Linked DNA regions of Rattus norvegicus. The protein of the gene in region 1 interacts with the protein of each later gene in a biochemical or structural test. Links are inferred from orthologs where the notes say so. Each region holds a gene or a part of one and is shown on either strand. Other genes may lie near its edges.

Region 1 (6,070 bases):
AGATGAATACAAGTGACGGGTATGGTTACCTCTGTCAGGTTTCTTACTTTTTGTGCATGTGTGAGGTGCATGCCTGTGCGTGTGGGTGGAGGAAGAGGTTTCCCACTCCGTGACACTCCACGGTGCTGTCAGCTCTCTTCACACTTTGCATGAAAGCTGTGGTTTGGGGAGAAGAAACTCCCATCACTGTGTTTTCCCTTTAGGATGTTGCTAGCCACTTTGGCTGACCTCCAGATGCATTGTCCCTGGCTCCGGCAGAAGGATACTGAGCTCGGCTGATGCACCCACACCAAAAGCTCAGGCTGAGCTCACAGCCACACTTAACATGGACTCTGGAAACAGGGCCCTTATGGTCTACATATGGTCGCTAATGGCCCCTGTCCAGGGCCCGCCTGGCTTCCTATAAGGGTGTGTGGTTTTCAGACTCTAGCAGTATGTTCAGAGGGGAATTCTTCTTCGATTGATTTACCCATGACTCTGTAACACTGAAGAGTACCAGGGGCTGGGGCAGGTACACTGGCGAGCTCAGCACTAGGCTGGGGCTGGGGCAACAAAGGTGGGTCTGGGAGGCAGAGGGTGGAGTCAAGAAATCTGAACTGAGTCCCATGGACTGAGGCTGAGGAGCCCAGGCCTGCGAGAGCACGGTACAGACGGCTTATCTGCACCCAACCCTTCCCTTAGAATGGGACCCTCCAAAGAACACAATGGAGATGGGGAGTCTGAGCATAGAATGGACAGCTGTCAAGATGGTGGGTTGCCAGGCTCCTGCCGTAATGTCAGAATCTTCATACTCTTCACTCATAAGAAGAAATGGTCCAACTCTTTTCACCTGTGCCTATCCCAAATCTGTCATATCTACATTGAGCTACAATCTGGGTTGTGAGCTCTTGGTAGGTGGAGACCAACACCCACCCCCTCCCCGCCCCTTATACTTCATATAGAGGAACATCTTGGCTCCATGGTCTGCAGGAGCCTTGGGACAAGGCTGAAGATGTTCTTATATTGGCCGTGACCATCTCCACAAAGGAGGGAAACACCTTTCGGCCTCTATCACTTCAGGCCTCACGGTCACTTGTGTCTAAAAGCAGGAAACAGAAAGTCGTAGCCACAGCACCGTCTGCTCCCATGACCTCATGACTCCCCTGTGTGCTTACCCTGAGTAGTCACAGAATACTTCCAAAGTCCGAGTGTCCAGCAGTAAGCCACACCAGGGAAACAGGCAGTGAGCAGGCAGCTGGTGCGGGGCTGCACCTCCCAGGGCGCCGGTCTCCACAGGGAAGTTCACCACTGTCTTCTGCAAGTTTATCATGCAGCCATACTCGGGCACGCCATGGACCAGGGTGCTGAAACAAGAGAAGGAACATCGGTTATGGGAGCCTGGAGGCACCCAGCACATGCCACAGAAGTTCTCAGAGGTGCTCTGTGACGCGAGAGAGCAGATGCTTGTGGGTACCGTGATGGAACACCAGACACTCTTGCTCTAGACTGCAGCCTAGCCCCCGTCTTCATTGTAAAGCAGTGGAGCAATAAGGCTATAAGCCAGGCCTCAGACAAGTGGAAAGTTTCCCATGACTCTGTGGGTCAGATCTTAGCAATCACGTAGCAAAACATCCCCTCCCTACTACCCCCAAAGCCTCTTTTCTTGTAGCTACTTTGGGATGCTTGTCGATGCGCAATGCTTCTCCTTATCAGCAAGTACTAATCAATAGACTGCTTCCTTGCGGACAGACCTTCCCGGGAAGTTGGACTTATTAAATAAACATTGGTGTTCTGAGGTGTGGCTTTTGCATCAGGAGCGGTCTTTTTTCTTACATAATATTCATACTAGTGGGTTATAGTGTGTATTCCAGGCTGTGTTTGCAGTATGTACGCTAGCCCAGGGTTTCGGGCACACCTGCTTGTAAAGTTAATTTCTGTGGCTCAAACTAGAATCAGGTACTATGGCCTTACTTCAGAGCAGTGACCTTACATTGAGGTCCCTCAGGCACTGGGATGCTTGTAGGCTTCTCTTTACTGACAAGAGATGAGAAACTGAAAGTGGTTAATGAAACTGAGCCCTAAGAAGTTGTCACCACTGAGGTACTGGTGTTTCCAGTGCTCTGTGCAGGCTGCATGCACTTGTAGTACAGGGTCCCAGAGCCCAATTGGTCATCCTTATCAAAGTCAGTAAGCCACCCCCAATGAAGGCCCCACCACATCTGTGGCACTTAGGAACTAAATGGCCTATAGGCAGTGGCCACTGGGACAGAGGACGCTGCTCCTGTTGAGGAAATTTCCAGAAGCCAGTTTTGCCCCTAAGACCTTGTCAGGGAAATGTCAGGATGTCCTGGATGAATATCAGGACAACCGGGAGGGGCTGCTAGGTGGGGTTGTCCATGGACACCTGTAGGACAGAGTTACTGCAGGGGCTCACCAGTCACAAGAATATAGAGTGCACAGGCAGTGGATAGCACATCAAGTAGCCACACTCATGGTACGGGGGGAGCCAGATGGCTGCTGTGAGTTGACCTTGGGGGATAGACCAGGCCAGACCAGTCACAGGTGTCAGACTCTCTCCCTCGGTGCTGCAGGTGTCCCACGCCTGGCTGCACAGGTGCGGTGCCTCTGCCACTTTGTAGAGATGCCACTAGGTTTTGGTGACTATATGAGCTCCAGGCATGCAGAACTACTAACCAGTTAAATTTGCTGCCTCAGCACGTTTATATCTTATGCAGATATATGTACATACATACTTCTATCTTGATCACACAGCAGAAACCCAGGCATGATGGTCCTTACCTGAGAAAGGCTTTTGCATGGGCCAGGTGAGGTGTCACCAACAGAAAGTCATCGACAAAACGTAAAAGCAAGCTAAAAAAAAGACAGACACACCAAGAGGTCTCACAGAACGCCCACCTTCAAGTGAGCCACCCTATAACACTATAAGTACAGGAATGCATGGAGGCAAAGCAAAGTGATTCTTCAAAAGAAGGGAATGACAGTTTCCCTGTCCTAACAGCGATGGCTCTGGTACGCCTCATGGCTTCTCACAAAGCGAAGGCACCTGAGCGTACAGCAACAGCGACACCCACTCGGCAACCCAGCCCCTGTGAGCAGTAAAAGGAAGCACTTACCCGTCCTGCTGCACCTCGGCAAACAGCTTGTTCTCCATGTCTCCGAAACACAGACTGCAGAGCAGGGTGGACAGGCTGGAGCCCTGGGGGATGCCCTGGCATTGCACATAGAACCTGGTGGTATTGGTGACAGTTATGGTCAGAAGGAGCAGCCACGGTGGGTCTCACACCTGTACCTGACACCCCTCCCCATGCATGCATGGGTAAACAGACACCATTCAGTGAGCATGCTCACAGGTCACATATACAACAGTGGTATCTACCACCGTCAGCTGCTGAGACCTAAGAAGATAACCCTTATCTCTTCCCTTTCCCACTCTTCCGCTACAACCTGGGGTGGTGCGGACCACAGCCCTGCCCACTGACTCCACGGCGTTCCTAAATTTTATACAAGAATGACAAGCAATCAGCCTCCTGAATGGAAAATTTATCTGGGACAATTCATAACAGGTTATTACGGAAGGAATATTCTTGGTGACAGCCGTGTTAAAAAAGTTAGTGCCTTCTCAGAGAACACAATGGAACCAAACTGACAGACATGCAGGTACAGACACACAGGTGCTGGCAGGGGTGGGTGTTATCAGATGGTCAGGACAAGGAGGTCACCCAGGGAGGCACCCCTCACATTTACGAGAGTAACCGTCAGGAAGCTCCGAGGCCCTGTGCACATGGACATAGACTCATGAATCTGTGCTTACTACAGATGGACTCTGGAGCTCCCTTGGCTGTGAAAAGACACTCGGTTGCATGCTTGTAGCGTCCCAGCATGCTCATTGAACATTTCCAATTACATCCTAACACATATTGTGACTTCAGATAATCAGATATTCCTTGTCCTGCCTGACTCCATCTCTAATAACCCTCGGATTCTGTTCTGCATGGGCACTCATGGTGGGTTTCTGTCAGCTCAGCAAAAAGGAGCCAAGTACACTGTACCAGTCTCCAGGTGAGGGAGGACTTTGGGTGCAGAAGGTGTAACCAACTGCTCGAGCACTCAACCTCACATCTGATCCAGACACACCAGACAGGCCTTTGCGGGCTGGTGGGCAGCTCCAGCCCAGAGCGACTTTGCTCTCTTCACCCTAGCAGTGCTTTTTAAAAGAGTACCTGTTTGTTCTTTTTTTCTCCTGGAAAATGGGTTATAAGCTTAATTAGTTTACAGTGTGTTCCATATTTTGTAAATGTTACATTACAGAGTATCTTAGTCAGGGTTTCTATTCCTGCACAAACATGACCAAGAAGCAAGTTGGGGAGGAAAGGGTTTATTCAGCTTACACTTCCACATTGCTGTTCATCACCAAAGGAAGTCAGGACTAGAACTCTAGCGGTTCAGGAAGCAGGAGCTGATCAGAGGCCATGGAGGGATGTTACTCACTGGCTTACTTGTTCTGGCTTGCTCAGCTTGCTCTCTTATAGAATCCAAGACTACCAGCCCAGGGATGGCACCACCCACAATGGCCTGGGTCCTCCCCACCTTGAGGACCACTAGTTGAGAAAATGCCTTACAGCTGGGTCTCATGAAGGCATTTCCACAACCAAGGCTCCTTTTCTGTGATAACTGCAGCTTGTGTCAAGTGGACACACAAAACCAGCCAGTACACGAGCCTCTGAGTTCTATCGTCGAAAGCCCTTTACTGCGTCTAGGTGCATTTGTGTCAGTATGTGTGTTTACAGAACTACACACGCCAAGCCATTCTGCACCTCTGTCATAAAGCCAAATTGTTTGTGGAAAAGAATAAAAAAAAAAAAGAGTGCCTGGTCTGGCTTGTAACTCATGGTAGTCTTGGGCGGACTCAGTCCCGGGCACTGTTCTCTCTTCTTTGGTGATCCATGTGCCCCATGCCTGGCTGCACAGGTGAGGTGACACTGACAAAATGGCAACATGAGCTCGAGGCACACAAAATCATTAACTTCACTGGACTCTTGCTTATCCCGGGGCTCCTAAGGTCTCATAGGTAGGCAGCTCTGTGGCCCAAAAGCCAGCAGAAGGGCAAGGCAGGGAGGGAGGAATGAGGAGGAGGCAGTCACTCGAGAGTTCTAGGTGCTGTGGCCAGTCAGCACGCACCCTGCTCAGCAGCCAGCGTAGCCCCTACCTACCTGTACCTGTCCTGCCTCCGCCACTCTGCCCACTTGCCCCATGTCTGGGCCTACCTGCCATCGATCTTCACGACACTGTGACGGACAAAGCGCAGGAAGAAGTGGAGCAGGCTACTGCCAGTCTCATTCATGGAGATGCTCTAGAAAAGCAGACAGACTGGCATGAGGACGCTGAATGCTGCACCAGGCCGTCACCGAGTGTGTATGATAAAGTCAGCGTGGAGCCAGGGTTAAGAGTCACTGAATGGCTAGGTTGGACCTGACTCAGTGTGACAGGATATGCAGCTTACAGAGCAGGGAGGTAAACTTGTCCATTCCCACAGCACTAGGTCTGGAACCTTAGCTCACACAGTACCCCTGAAGAGCCAGGAGGCAATCATCCAAACGTCTCAGTGAGCATGGCTGCCCCACAGGTAGAATATGTATCAAAGAAGGCTCTATAGAACCACTGGTTTGTGTGGGAGGAGATCTCTGGTGTGTGGCTTATGGAAACACAGCTTCTGACGTAATGGGACCAAGATGGGGAACACAGGTCAAGTCTAACGCGTCCTCTAGGAGCGGGTGAACTGTCCTATGGTTGCCAGGTCGAAATTGAGGAAGGAGATATTTTTACCAGTTCACCGGTGGAACACCTGGGGTAGGGGAGACAAGAGGGTGGGAAGGGCACCTCAAAGCAACTCTTAGCATGGCCACCTAAGTTGGAGGGTTCTGGTTATGTCATGAGGACTGCTACCAGTCCTGCTACCCTTGTTCATGGGACCCACTACCAAGAAGCACATCAGCCACATCCCTGCACTGAAGCAAACAGCCAAGTAAAGCTGGAAGGTTCCCCCCAGGGGTGGCTTGTTAATAGGAAGTCT
Region 2 (6,194 bases), about 140 Mb from region 1:
GACCCGCGACCGAGGCGGCACAGGCTGGCGCCGCCTCGGGGTCCGCGCCGGAGCCGCTGCAGCTCATGGGGCTGGTGGGAAAGGCGGCAACCAGAGCTACTTCCGCTTCCGCTCGCCCAGGCGCACGTTGCGTGACGTCACAGTTCCCGCCCCACCGCTTTAGTCCGCCGCGGGCGACCTTAGGTTGGCTGTTGGCAGATTAGGTGTAGACTGGCAGAGGTAAACTGTGAAAGACCTAGCCTCCACCCTGCGGCTCAACCCTGCCCAGATGGGACCGCGAAGAATCCAGGACTGCACACTTCATTTCATCTGGGTGCGCAGATTTGACTTGGGGACTCATATGTCAGATACTTCATTACCAGTCTCCTTAACAGTCTTCATTCTTTGTCGCTCCCTTTCACTGTCTTTAAGGATTTTAGTGGATTTGGTGTGTGTCCCTCCCACCCACAACGGTCCTAGAAGCGTGCTGCTGTAAATGTAGAGATAGGTGTTTCACCCCGAAGAAATAACATGCCAAAGTCACATGTGAAGCACATTAGCAATTCAACAGTCATTTATTTAATTTCTATTTGCCAACTACAGGGTTGGGACCTAGGAATACAAAGTTAAGAATCAGATTCTAGTTCACTAGCACCAAGCTCTGGAAAAGGAAGGCAGACAATTTTAATACTGTATGGTTGTTTCCCAGATACACGTAGGTGGAGTGCAAGGAAGTAGGGAACTAACATCAGCTGCTTAATTCCAAGTGTCAGACATTAGCAATGTTTATTTCCCAATTTTGAAGGCAGGTTTCAATGTCCCTGACTTTTACCCAGTAATCTTTGAAGGGTTTGCACAAATAAATATACTGTTTGGTTTAGAAGATGACTTACCCATGGTCAAGGATGCTGAGGGGCTTTGGAAGGCTCTCCCCTACCCAAGTACTTCCTGCAGTTTAGAGGAAAAAGGACATGGGCTCAAAGATAATGCAGTAGTGTGTGTGTGTGTGTGTGTGTGTGTGTGTGTGTGTGCGTGCGCGCGCGCGCGCGCGCGCGTGCACGCACGTTTGTGTATTTTCGAGACATGGTCTCACGTAGGCCTGGCATGCCTGGAACTCTTTGTATAGACCAGGATGGACTCAGAGAGGCTTGCCTGGTCTCTGCCTCCTAAGTGCTGGGATTAAAGGTGAGCATCACCACGCTAGCTGATAAAGACATATCTGGAGAAGTAGTCAGTAAAACTTGTTGAAGTTAGTAGGGAGGTGAAAAAAAATGAAAATTAAGAGTTACAGGTTTCTGGCTTGTTTGAAAGAGGCATTATATCACAGACTAAGAGATGAAATAGTTTAGGTCTGGGCTGGAGGGAGATGAAGTAATGAGGTATCTTACATTTGAGATGTCAGTGATCTATCAAGGGATGTTAATAAAATATGAGTAAAAACCTACGGATGGAACAATGAACACCAGCATCCCATAATTAGTTGAAAAGGAGGACAGTTAGTGTGGTCAAAGGGGGTATACACTGAGCAAAAAAGGAATGGGAAACTGACGGAAAGAACGAACACCCAGGTTCACAGAAGCTAGATGTTTGTGAATGTCTGACAGTTGAAATTAAAACCTGAATGCTGCTTTGGTGTAGCCAAGAAGGGGAAAATAAAATGTAAATTTACAAATAATTTACAAAAAAAAAAATCACTGAAGCAAAAATTTAAAGCAAAATTTGTAACACCTATTTATTTTGTTGAGGAGCTTTGCCAATAAGAACATTTAAAACATTTAAAATTTTCAAACTTGAACTTTCCTTAGAATAGTTATATAGATTGTCACCAACCTGTTCTTTTTTTTTTTTTTGGTTCTTTTTTTCGGAGCTGGGGACCGAACCCAGGGCCTTGCGCTTCCTAGGCAAGCGCTCTACCACTGAGCTAAATCCCCAACCCATCACCAACCTGTTCTTAAACAAGAAAGCCCATAAAACACTGAGAAGTGTATAACTGGATAGAATGTCAGGGAGACCATTGCACTTCAGTGCCAGGGGAAGAAAGACTAAACGATTAGCACAAAGGTCTCATTTCAGTGAACGAAGAAGCAGCTGGAAGAGAAAGAGCATACGGTCAGTGCAGAGGTGGTAAGCATTAGGTGGGACTGCTGGTGTCAGTAATGCAGACTGAATCTTCTCGCCCTGCTTTCACATCTCAAGCTGGAAAGAGGAAGGAGAGATGGGGTTGGGGTGAGACAAAATGCTGGTTATAGCATCTTGTTGGGGATCTCGAAGTAGAAGTTTGGAGACCTGAGTTTGATGGCTCACAGGGTTGGGAGTCCAGTCCTGCTCACAGCATTTGAGGGTTAGGGAGAAGCTATCTGCAGCAGGCAACAGTTAAGAGTTCATCAGGGCTTCCATTGAGGAATAACGAGAAACTGAGCCTTCCCTTGTAGTACAGGAAACAGTTCTGCTTTCTCGTCAGGGCAGGGAAGGGTCAAGGGTTGAGTAGAGTCTTCAGTAGGGCTGGGAAGTTGGGTGTTCCCCAACCTGTCACAGGATCCCAGCCAGGACCAGAGCAGAAACCCTGACCCTCCACTTCTTCATTCAGACAGGACTCATGGCAGCCATGGGTTACCTGGGAGGAGATGGTGGCATCAGACCTGGGCCTGCTGGTACCAGTACTCCTAGACTGCACCTTATTCATATTCATGTCACGGAGGCAATCCCATATAGTAAAAGCACCCCAAGTCCATGGTAGCCCTTCTCATATCCTATGACAATATCCACCCTCTTTCCTCCAACACTTACATCAAAGAGTCCTGCCCCATGCTGCTGATAGAGCCTGGGATTGAGAAAGCCTAGAGGGGGGCGGCCATTGAGGAGTCTGTGCTCATTTATCAAGGATAAAATTCCCCCAAACACTGGAGTAGAGGCCTGCAAGATGAAGATGCAAAAATAGGTCAGGGTTTTAGCGGGATTAGACTTCTGAGGGATGATGCTTGCAAAGATCAGAAGTCTCTGAGGAGTCAGGGGTTCTGGGTTCAAGATTTTGTAGATGGAGGAGCGAGGGTAGTTCCTGAGTAGAGGGTTTACAGCAAAGCTGATGCTCACCGAGGTTCCAGATACCCACGGAATGGGGACCATGTTGCTGACCACCCAGTAGCCATCAGAAAGCGCGGCAACATCTGGGTAAGCACGGCCACTAGCATTGAAGTAACTAGATGGTGGTAGATGAGAGCTGGACTTCAAGAACTGGGCTACTGCTTCCTCCTGAAGGACATTTCTGAGTGTGAGCGTTGGCCAGAAGTCTGCTCAGCAAGCCGCTGAACTGAGGACAATTCCCCTGACCACCAACCCTCAACCTCCACAAATCCATAGGAATATCCACAAACCTGGTATGAAGGCTGTGGGAAAACATTGCTGAAGCCTCCACCACTGATATAGTCAACTACTTCATTTGTGACAAGGAAAGGATTCTTGAAGGAGGTTCCTCCTACTGTAGTGACATAGGGGCTAAGGAGAAGACAGCATTCAGATAGCGGGTGTACTGGCTGGTTGGTTTTGTGTGATACAAAGATCTAAGTGATGAAGGAGGCTCAATTGAGGAAATGCCTCCATGAGATCCAGCCATAGGGCATTTTCTTAGCGATCAATGAGGGAGGGCCCAGCCCACTGTGGAGAGTGACATCCCTGGGCTGGTGGTCCTGGGTTCTATCAGAAGGCAGGCTGAGCAAGCCATGAGGATCAAGCCGGTAATCTCCATGGCCTCACATCAGCTCCTGTTTCCTGTTTCCAGGTTCCAGCCCTGCTTGAGTTCCTGTCCTGACTTCCTCCAATGATGGATTGTGATCTGGAAGTGTAAGCCAAATAAACCCTTTCCTCCCCAACTTGCTTTTTTTGTCATGGTGTTTCATCACAGCAATAAAACTCTGACTAAGACAATGGGTGATGTCCAAGATGTGTGGAGGTGAGTGGGTACGGTCTGGGTCTTACTGGAAAGGAGAGTAAGACTATGGGAGCCTGTGTACCGACAGACTGGATGCCTTCAAGACATGGCTGGAATTAATTGTATATACTTTTCTGCCTAAAAACCAAACCCTAACAACTAAGGGAACAAAACAACATATTCTGCTGTCACAGCCTGGGATATACAGGAAGAAAAGGGAAGGGAGCACAGGAACCCCAACAGGTAATGCTGAAGGCTGAGCCATAGCAGCTCCTGGTGGCATCAAAGTCACACATGAAAGAGTGGGGTACTTACCTAGAAGCAGGGAAGCTAGGACGGAACTTGTGTCTTCCGGAGACAGACCAACACCCAGCTCCAGTGTCACCTGGGAAAGACATATTAAGTATTCAGATCAGATGGGAAGAGCTTGGGGTGTAGGCTTATATATACCCGAGAAGAAATGTATATGCCACCTCACAGATCTCAGGTCATGTCAGTAGACCCTGCTAAGACTGAGTTCCTATTATGAGTCAGAAACCAGGTTGAAGGGTCAGCTGGGATAAAGCCTGCTGCTTGGTAGGTGGGATGTCTTAATTTTATGGTAGGAGGTTACCTGAGGCAAAAAGGAGGGTGAGACCCCGAGCAGCAGCCTTCATGAACTCAGTGTTGACTCTCTGGATGTAGACACTGCTGAGGGAGTCTTCATCGTCTCCGTAACTCACAGTATGTACATGCGGCAAGGATGACTCATTGCTAAGAAGCAGGAGCCATTGTAAGAAGGGCTCCTGTGCCTCATGGCGGCCTGAATTGTTTTAAAAGAAGGGATAGGAGTGGTCATTGGATGGTTGCCAGCCCATGGCGTCCCCTTGATAAAATGAAGCAGCTATCAGCAGTCTACTCCAACCCATTTTCCCATCCCCCAACTTTGCAATACCAGGGCTACTGTAGACCCAAGTGGAGATATTGGCACCAGCACTCATCAGGTATTCCACATCTAGACTGGCCTCGATGCCCGCTCGGCCTCGCCCCTGCTTTCCAACCACTCTTGCTACTGAGGCCTGGTGTGCAAAACTGCTACCAAACAGGCGCATGAACTCAGTCAGATCCGAGTTATGGAAGTACTGTTCCAGGAACTGTGGAAACATCCAAATCAGGAGTTGTAGATCAGAGAGTGAGGCCCAGGGTAGTGAAGCACTGAAGATATCTTGAAGAGGTTGTGATGACCCCAGGGTTTTGCATGGCTCACCTGGGCACAGGCCTGGCTATTGTTGGTGGTGCCAGAGCCCACATCTCGGGCTGTCAGGTTATATCGCTGACGAAGCACAGATGGAGTCACTCCCAGGTGCAGGCCAACAGGTCCCACTCCTTGTGGCTCTGGACGTTGTCTCGGAGATGATAAAGGGGGGAAACGGTGCAGCCCCGCCACTGTGGAAAGGGTCAGGCTTAAGGAGGTCTCACAGGTACTACCACCCACTTCACTACCGGAAACACTCCATGCCTCCTGTGTTATCTAAACTTCTTCAGCCTGTAGCTCTGCCCCCCCCAACCCCCAACCTCCACCAACCCCATTGGGTTTACCAAAGTCCACATGAGGGGCCAAGGCCTGGGGGAGCTGATAGGGATGTGGGGACCTTATAATGTGGGTCTTTGCAGGTCCCCCTACATAGCGATGAAACTCAGCCCCAGGAAGCAGCAGCTCAGCCTGCCTGGAAGTAAGAAAACAGAAACCATGGAGAGGTGCTGTAGAGCTGGCCGGAGCCCTACTTACCACCCAATCATTATCTCTGTACGCATTAGCAATACCCACAGGCTCTCAGCAAGCTTTAAACTCCCCCATTTGGGGGTATCTTGTCTCCTTGGTGGGAAATGGATTCTATGGGGCAATCATTACTTCTCACCGGACACTCAGCCAGCAAGTCAGAAAGTCCTGGGTGGTCACTGAATGGCAGTCCCGGGCTCCAGCTGCCAAGAGCCACTTTTGGACAGTGCAGAGGGTCAGTGGTGATGGTTGGACCAGCTCAGCTACATCCTCTAGGGTGAGGTACTTTCCTGCAGGGATTCAGAAGGGGATCTTGTCTTCATTTCAGGCTTTCCTGGGTTGTCTGGATGTCAATCAGGAGACATCAAAACTTCCCCAAGTGCTAGGCATATTGGGAGTCCAAGGGAAGAAAGGCTGAAGAGACATGAAATGTCATGGCCAGGAAATATGCACAGCATGTATTGCCCCGGTCACAAAAATTCAAGGAGGTTAATAAACTTTAAATGTCCCATTTTTAAGCTTCTCTTCAAA
Region 3 (5,595 bases), about 110 Mb from region 1:
GGGCAAGGGGTCAAAGGACTGCCTCTGGATAGAGGAGACAGACGTGGCTCATAGGAAAATGACAATTTATAAAGGTACAAGGGGGAAACCCATGTTAGGATGAGGTGCTGAATTTTTAGTGGGCTTGTTAACTAGGTGAGTCAAAGGAGGCTTGTGATGGCTGGACTTCAGCACTTTGACAGCTGGACCTTGGTAGTCAGTCTCAGGAGGAGGAAGTGGCCAAATGAGGAAATAGATCTTGGGGATTAGCTTTAGGAATGTAGGTTAGTAGCAAGGTAGAAGGAATTGGGCCTTGCAGAGGGAGCAAGGCCGGCCAGAGCTGTGCTCACCAAGCTCCAGCTAGCCAGAGACCCTTCAGATACAGTGTCTGCAGAGACAGGTTAAGTTCTTTGTAAATACCAACCCTAAGAAGGGACTCCAAGCCTCTGCTGTTTTGTGACTTGCCTCTCTTTGGCTAAAGATTGCCCAATGACTGGAAATCCCCAGTATGCGACTTAATTTCACAGCTGGTATGCAGAATGGGGATGTAGTAGATACAGGGAATACTGCTTGAGGACACCAATAATTTCCCCTCTGCCAGTGCCCACACCAATAAGTTCCCCTCTCTCTGCCAGTGCCCACAGACGCTTTTGCGAGTTGCTTCCCCCAGAGCATCGGACCGTGGAAGAGTCACTGCATACCCGAGTATCTTTTGAGCAGATCCTCAGCCTTCCAGAGCTCAAGGTTCAGTCCTCTACCCACTTTATCCACCCACTATCTGCTGCGTTCCCTAAGTCTCCCCTGTGATTGTGAGCACATGCCACCACTCCCTGGGGGTTTTCTTTTGATGATGATGGCGTGTAATTGTGTGGGATGTGGACACATGTAAGTGCTGGTGCTTGTGGAGTACAGAAGGCAAGGAACCCCTGGTGCTGGGGTTATAGGCAGTTGTGCTAGAGACTGAACTAGGGTCCTCTGCGGAAGCGAATGGGCTTTTCATCACCGAGTCATCTCTTCAGCCCACTCTTCCCCTTTAAAAACAGTGGTTCTGAGGATTGAATGCAAGCCTTTATATTTACCGGCTGAGCTAACTGGCCATTTTCTTTTTCTTTTTTTTTTTTTTCCAGAGCTGAGGACTGAACCCAGGGCCTTCCACTTGCTAGGCAAGCGCTCTACCACTGAGCTAAATCCCCAACCCCCATTTTCTTTTTCTGATGTGGGCTTTTACTACATAGCCTTGACTGACCTTGAACTTGCTTCAATCCTCCTTTCCCTACCATGTGAGCACCAGGATTGCTTGCTGTTAATAATAATAATAATAATAATAATAATAATAATAATAATAAAAAAACAACACCAATCATAATTATAGTTGTTGTTTTTTCCAAGACAGGGTTTCTCTGTGTATCCCTAGCTGTCCTGGAACTAGCTTTGTAGACCAGGCTGCCTCAAACTCAAAGATCTGCCTGAGGTTAAAGGCATGTGCCACCATCGCCTGGCTTATAATTGTTATTTTGAGACAGGTTCTCATTGTGGAGCCCTGGATGGCCTGGCTGGAACTTGCTGTGTAAACCGGGCTCTCGTTGAATTCTTAGATCCACCTGCCTTTGCCTCCTCGGTGCTAGAATGAGAACATGCATCATAACACTTGTCTGCGATTCTTCCGAAAAGAGCCTGACTGTAACAAAATAATCCCGAGTTAAGTATATTTAAAAATGACCAGTGGTCCAGCCGAGCAGGTTAGCAGATAAAACACTTGCCTTGGGCCAGGGGGTGGTGGCGGTGCACACCTTCAATCCCAGCACTTGGGAGGCAGAGGCAGGTGATTTCTGAGTTTGAGACCAGCCTGGTCTGTAGATCCAGACTTAGAAGAAAACGAAACACTCGCCTAGTAGTCCTGATGACCTAGGTTTGATCATTGGGACCTATGGCAGGAGAAGGAAATTGTCTATGTAAAGTTGCCCTTGATTTCCCCTCGTGTGTAGTGGCATGTGCTCACATGTAATCAGCTCCTCTTCCAGCTGTGAGTCTACTTGTGTCGTGTCTAGTTAGACTCCCAGGAGCCTCTGTGCCTTCCCTGGCTGGCTTAGTGGCCCTTTAGTGCCCTCCATGTCCTGGTCTCAAAGCCTCCCCTCCAAGCCTGAGCTCCTCAAGTTTCCAGAAGGGAATCAGGTGTGCTGGTGCACACCTGTAATTCAGTATCTGGGAGGTAGAGGCAGGAGGATCAGGAGTTTGAGGCCAGCCTGGGTTTATGAGATCCTTCCTCAAAAGAAGTCTCCAGTTGAGCTGGCTGAGTAACCCAGACCTGGTCCTGTGATGTTCACAGAAGGCATTCTTATGTAGGCCAACCCCTTCAAGGAGCGAATCTGCATGGTCTTCTCCACGTCGCCTACCAGAGACAGCCTGAGCTTTGAGGACTTCCTGGACCTCCTGAGTGTCTTCAGTGACACAGCAACCCCAGACATCAAGTCACACTATGCCTTCCGCATCTTTGGTAAGCACTGTGAAAACTACTGGATCCACTCCTTCCCACACAGGAAGTGAGGGCGGGTGCGTGCCTGGGGACTGCCTCTGAGCATGTCCTTGGTGCTCCCTGTGTCTGCTGCCTAGACTTTGATGATGATGGAACCCTGGACAGAGAAGACCTGAGCCGGCTTGTGAACTGCCTCACGGGAGAGGGCGAGGACACTCGGCTCAGTGCTTCTGAGATGAAGCAGCTCATCGACAATGTGAGCTGAGCTTTTCGCTAGGCTGCGGGTGTTGGGTGGGAAGGGTTGGAGCTGAAGCCTAAAGCCCTCCTTTCCCCAGATCCTGGAAGAGTCGGACATTGACAGGGATGGGACCATCAATCTCTCCGAGTTCCAGCACGTCATCTCTCGCTCACCAGACTTTGCCAGGTGTGACAGGAGCGCCTGCATTCTGAGTACCCATCTATCTACTCTGGGATGGTATTAGAGGGATGGTTCAGGATATTCTTTCAGAGGGGACCCAGCCCACTCCATTTATTTATTTATTTATGTGAGTACACTGTAGCTGTCTTCAGAACACCAGAAGAGGGCATCAGATCTCATTACAGATGGTCGTGAGCTGGGATTTGAACTCAGAACCCCTGGAAGAGCAGTCAGTGCTCTCAACCTTTGAGCCATCTCTCCAGCCCCAGTTTTGTTTTTTTCAGACAGGATTTTATGTTGCTGAGACTGACCTTAAATTCCACCTGCCTCTGCCTCCCCATTACTGATATAGAAGGAATGCACCACCACACCCAGCCTGGGATTTTGGACCTCTGGTTTCCTTTCCTCTACCTGGAATGTCTAGTTTTGTGGTACCAAGAATTGAACAGTTTCAAACCTGTTGTGCAGGCACAACACTGACACCTATGTCCAGCTCCTCAAAGGAATCTTGGCTGTGGTGGTGCAGGTCTGTAATCCCAGCACACAGAAGGCAAAGGCAGACTTGGTGCCTATTCAAGACCAGCTTGGTCTACAGTGAATTCCATACCAGCCAGAACTTGCTTCAGGGGGAAAGAAATGGGTGTGATTAGTCAGGTCTGTACCACCCCTTTCGATCAGAAAACCCCTGCGCTGGGATCTAGCAGTGGTGGAGTGTGCATGTTTAAAAGGTGTCAGGCCCTGGGTTCGATCCCCAGAACCAAACCAAAAGGCCAAAGCCAACTCACTCTTCCCTTGTGCAGCTCCTTTAAGATTGTCCTGTGATGGCTTTCAAGTACCAACATCCTGTCCAAGACCTTTCCACTGCTGAGATGTGGCCAAGGTTATGCCTGCGGTGTCAGGGCCAGAGCCGGCCCAGCCTGGAGAGGGCGCTGCAGAGTCTGGCCCCCTGGCAGGGGAGGACTCTCCCCCTTGTCACTGCTGTTGCCATCACTGTTTTTACTAATTGGTAATAAAGGTTTAGAAATGTTTGACTTCCTTGTATGACAGTAGCAGCAGGACTGGACTTGTAGGAGCCTGTGATCATCCCCACGTCGGAGACACTCAAGTTCATTTCCACATGTGTGGGAACTTACAGAATGGTTCACCAAAGAGAGGTCAGTTTTCCCATATCATCTGAAAACTTAAAACACTAGAGAGTAAAAAAAAAAAAAAATCCTGTCCAGTACCCTGAACTGGGTGCAAAGGAAGGGAATTCATCTTGGTAAGGCCACACTCTACCAGGGAAGAACTCCCAGACAGATAAAACCCGGCGCCAGGCTGGGGAGATAGCTTACTTAGTCAAGTATCTGCCTCACAAGCTTGAGGACCTCAGTCCTTAAGTCCCAATGCTGGGGAGGCAGAGACAGGAGGATCCCTGGGCTTACTAGCTAGCCACTCTATCCTCAGGGTGAATGCTTAATGAGACCCTGTCTGACAAGGCAGTTCCTAAGGATGGTACCTAAGGAGAGCCTCTGGTCTCCACATGTACACACACATGCATTCATGTTACACACACACAAAGCGAAGTTCTTCAAGAGTCTGGGCCACAGTTAACTATAATTTGCTGGACTTTATTTAAAAAAAAAAAGAAAGTAAAGTGCATCTTATTAAAAAAAAAATACAAAACCCATGTAAATTCAGGGTCCTCGTGATGGGCAGTGTCAGTATCCCTTAGAGTGGTGGGCAAGGGCATGGTGAGCTAGGACAGGGAACAGGGAGGATCCAGAAGTCTGTGTTGGAATTAGAAAACAGGGCTGATGAGGTGGGTGGCGACACAGTTCCTCAACTGGGAAAAGGACAGCAGGCAACAGTCTTCTGTCACAACGCCCCCTGGGGTCACTCCCTTGCTTTCCAGGCCACAGCCTGATACAGGCTGGAGAAGTCTGGGAACTGGGACTGAGCCCAGGGTCTGGTGAGGAGGGCTGCAGAGCCAGCCTAGCCCTCTAGTCCCTGAGGTGGTGGGGTGTCAGCGGTCACAGACATGTCCTTGGTTGGCTGAAGCTGGAGCAGGGCCCTGATTCTGCAGTGGCCTCAGCAGCGGAGTAAGGCGGAAGGTAGAATGAATAGTCCAGTGGGGGAGGGATTCCCAACTCCAGCTCACAAAGCCACTTCAGAGAAGTCCCCAAGAGCCCAGCAGGCTGAATTGGAGTGGCTGTGCCGTACAGTCTTCCTTATCTATCTCTCCTTCCTCTCTCTCTGGCTTCACATTTGCAGTTTTAAACAAAGGGCTCAGTTAAGTAGCAGAGTTCTGCCATCCAGACAGGGACCCTCTGGCCCCTGGAGGCAGCCCTTTTCGGCCAGACATTGGAACCGGCTGGCCAGGCTGTTGGTGCTGTGATACCAGCTGCCTCCCAGGCAGGGTACCATGGTTGTGTTCTGTGACAGCAGAGGTAGCTGACCTCCACTGAACATTCACAGCCCCTGAGGTCAGGGTGGCTACATCTAAAGTCAGTTCTCATACCACAGAGTCTCGGATCTCAGAGCCCAGTCGAACTCGGGGCCGGGGACACACAGGAGACACCTCCACAAAGCTGTCCTGGATACTCAGTGGCCTCTTCTCTGACTCAGTAAAGACTCGGGGCCCTGGGGAGCTATCCGACAGAGCCTGGTAGCCTCGGTGGTCAAGGGGGGTGCTGGGAGGGCCAACACCATTGAGTGGTCGGGTCTCAGGTGGGAGCACTGCAGG

What was found.
Region 2: the proteins of Tert (region 1) and Tpp1 form a complex in vitro, tested with the Homo sapiens proteins (2 studies listed by BioGRID and IntAct). The link is inferred for Rattus norvegicus from reciprocal best matches to the Homo sapiens genes TERT and TPP1.
Region 3: the proteins of Tert (region 1) and Cib1 form a complex in vitro, tested with the Homo sapiens proteins (2 studies listed by BioGRID). The link is inferred for Rattus norvegicus from reciprocal best matches to the Homo sapiens genes TERT and CIB1.

Annotation. Positions count from the first base shown.
Region 1 is NC_086019.1:31,469,840-31,475,909, forward strand, and holds part of Tert (telomerase reverse transcriptase), read right to left. Parts: intron 5,351-6,070; coding exon 5,265-5,350; intron 3,228-5,264; coding exon 3,114-3,227; intron 2,851-3,113; coding exon 2,779-2,850; intron 1,344-2,778; coding exon 1,155-1,343; intron 1-1,154. UniProt on the Homo sapiens protein: Telomerase is a ribonucleoprotein enzyme essential for the replication of chromosome termini in most eukaryotes. Active in progenitor and cancer cells. Inactive, or very low activity, in normal somatic cells.
Region 2 is NC_086019.1:169,508,127-169,514,320, forward strand, and holds the end of Tpp1 (tripeptidyl-peptidase 1 precursor), read right to left. Parts: intron 5,954-6,194; coding exon 5,803-5,953; intron 5,611-5,802; coding exon 5,483-5,610; intron 5,330-5,482; coding exon 5,151-5,329; intron 5,038-5,150; coding exon 4,839-5,037; intron 4,707-4,838; coding exon 4,518-4,706; intron 4,290-4,517; coding exon 4,220-4,289; intron 3,472-4,219; coding exon 3,351-3,471; intron 3,229-3,350; coding exon 3,070-3,228; intron 2,893-3,069; coding exon 2,767-2,892; intron 2,594-2,766; coding exon 2,453-2,593; 3' UTR 1,690-2,452; downstream 1-1,689. Other genes in the region: Taf10 (transcription initiation factor TFIID subunit 10), read right to left, coding at 1-67. UniProt on the Homo sapiens protein: Lysosomal serine protease with tripeptidyl-peptidase I activity. May act as a non-specific lysosomal peptidase which generates tripeptides from the breakdown products produced by lysosomal proteinases. Requires substrates with an unsubstituted N-terminus.
Region 3 is NC_086019.1:143,585,902-143,591,496, reverse strand, and holds the end of Cib1 (calcium and integrin-binding protein 1), read left to right. Parts: intron 1-614; coding exon 615-723; intron 724-2,322; coding exon 2,323-2,473; intron 2,474-2,589; coding exon 2,590-2,708; intron 2,709-2,787; coding exon 2,788-2,876; coding exon of another isoform or gene 2,877-2,934; exon of another isoform or gene 2,935-3,670; coding exon 3,671-3,692; 3' UTR 3,693-3,906; downstream 3,907-5,595. Other genes in the region: Sema4b (semaphorin-4B precursor), read right to left, coding at 5,365-5,595. UniProt on the Homo sapiens protein: Calcium-binding protein that plays a role in the regulation of numerous cellular processes, such as cell differentiation, cell division, cell proliferation, cell migration, thrombosis, angiogenesis, cardiac hypertrophy and apoptosis.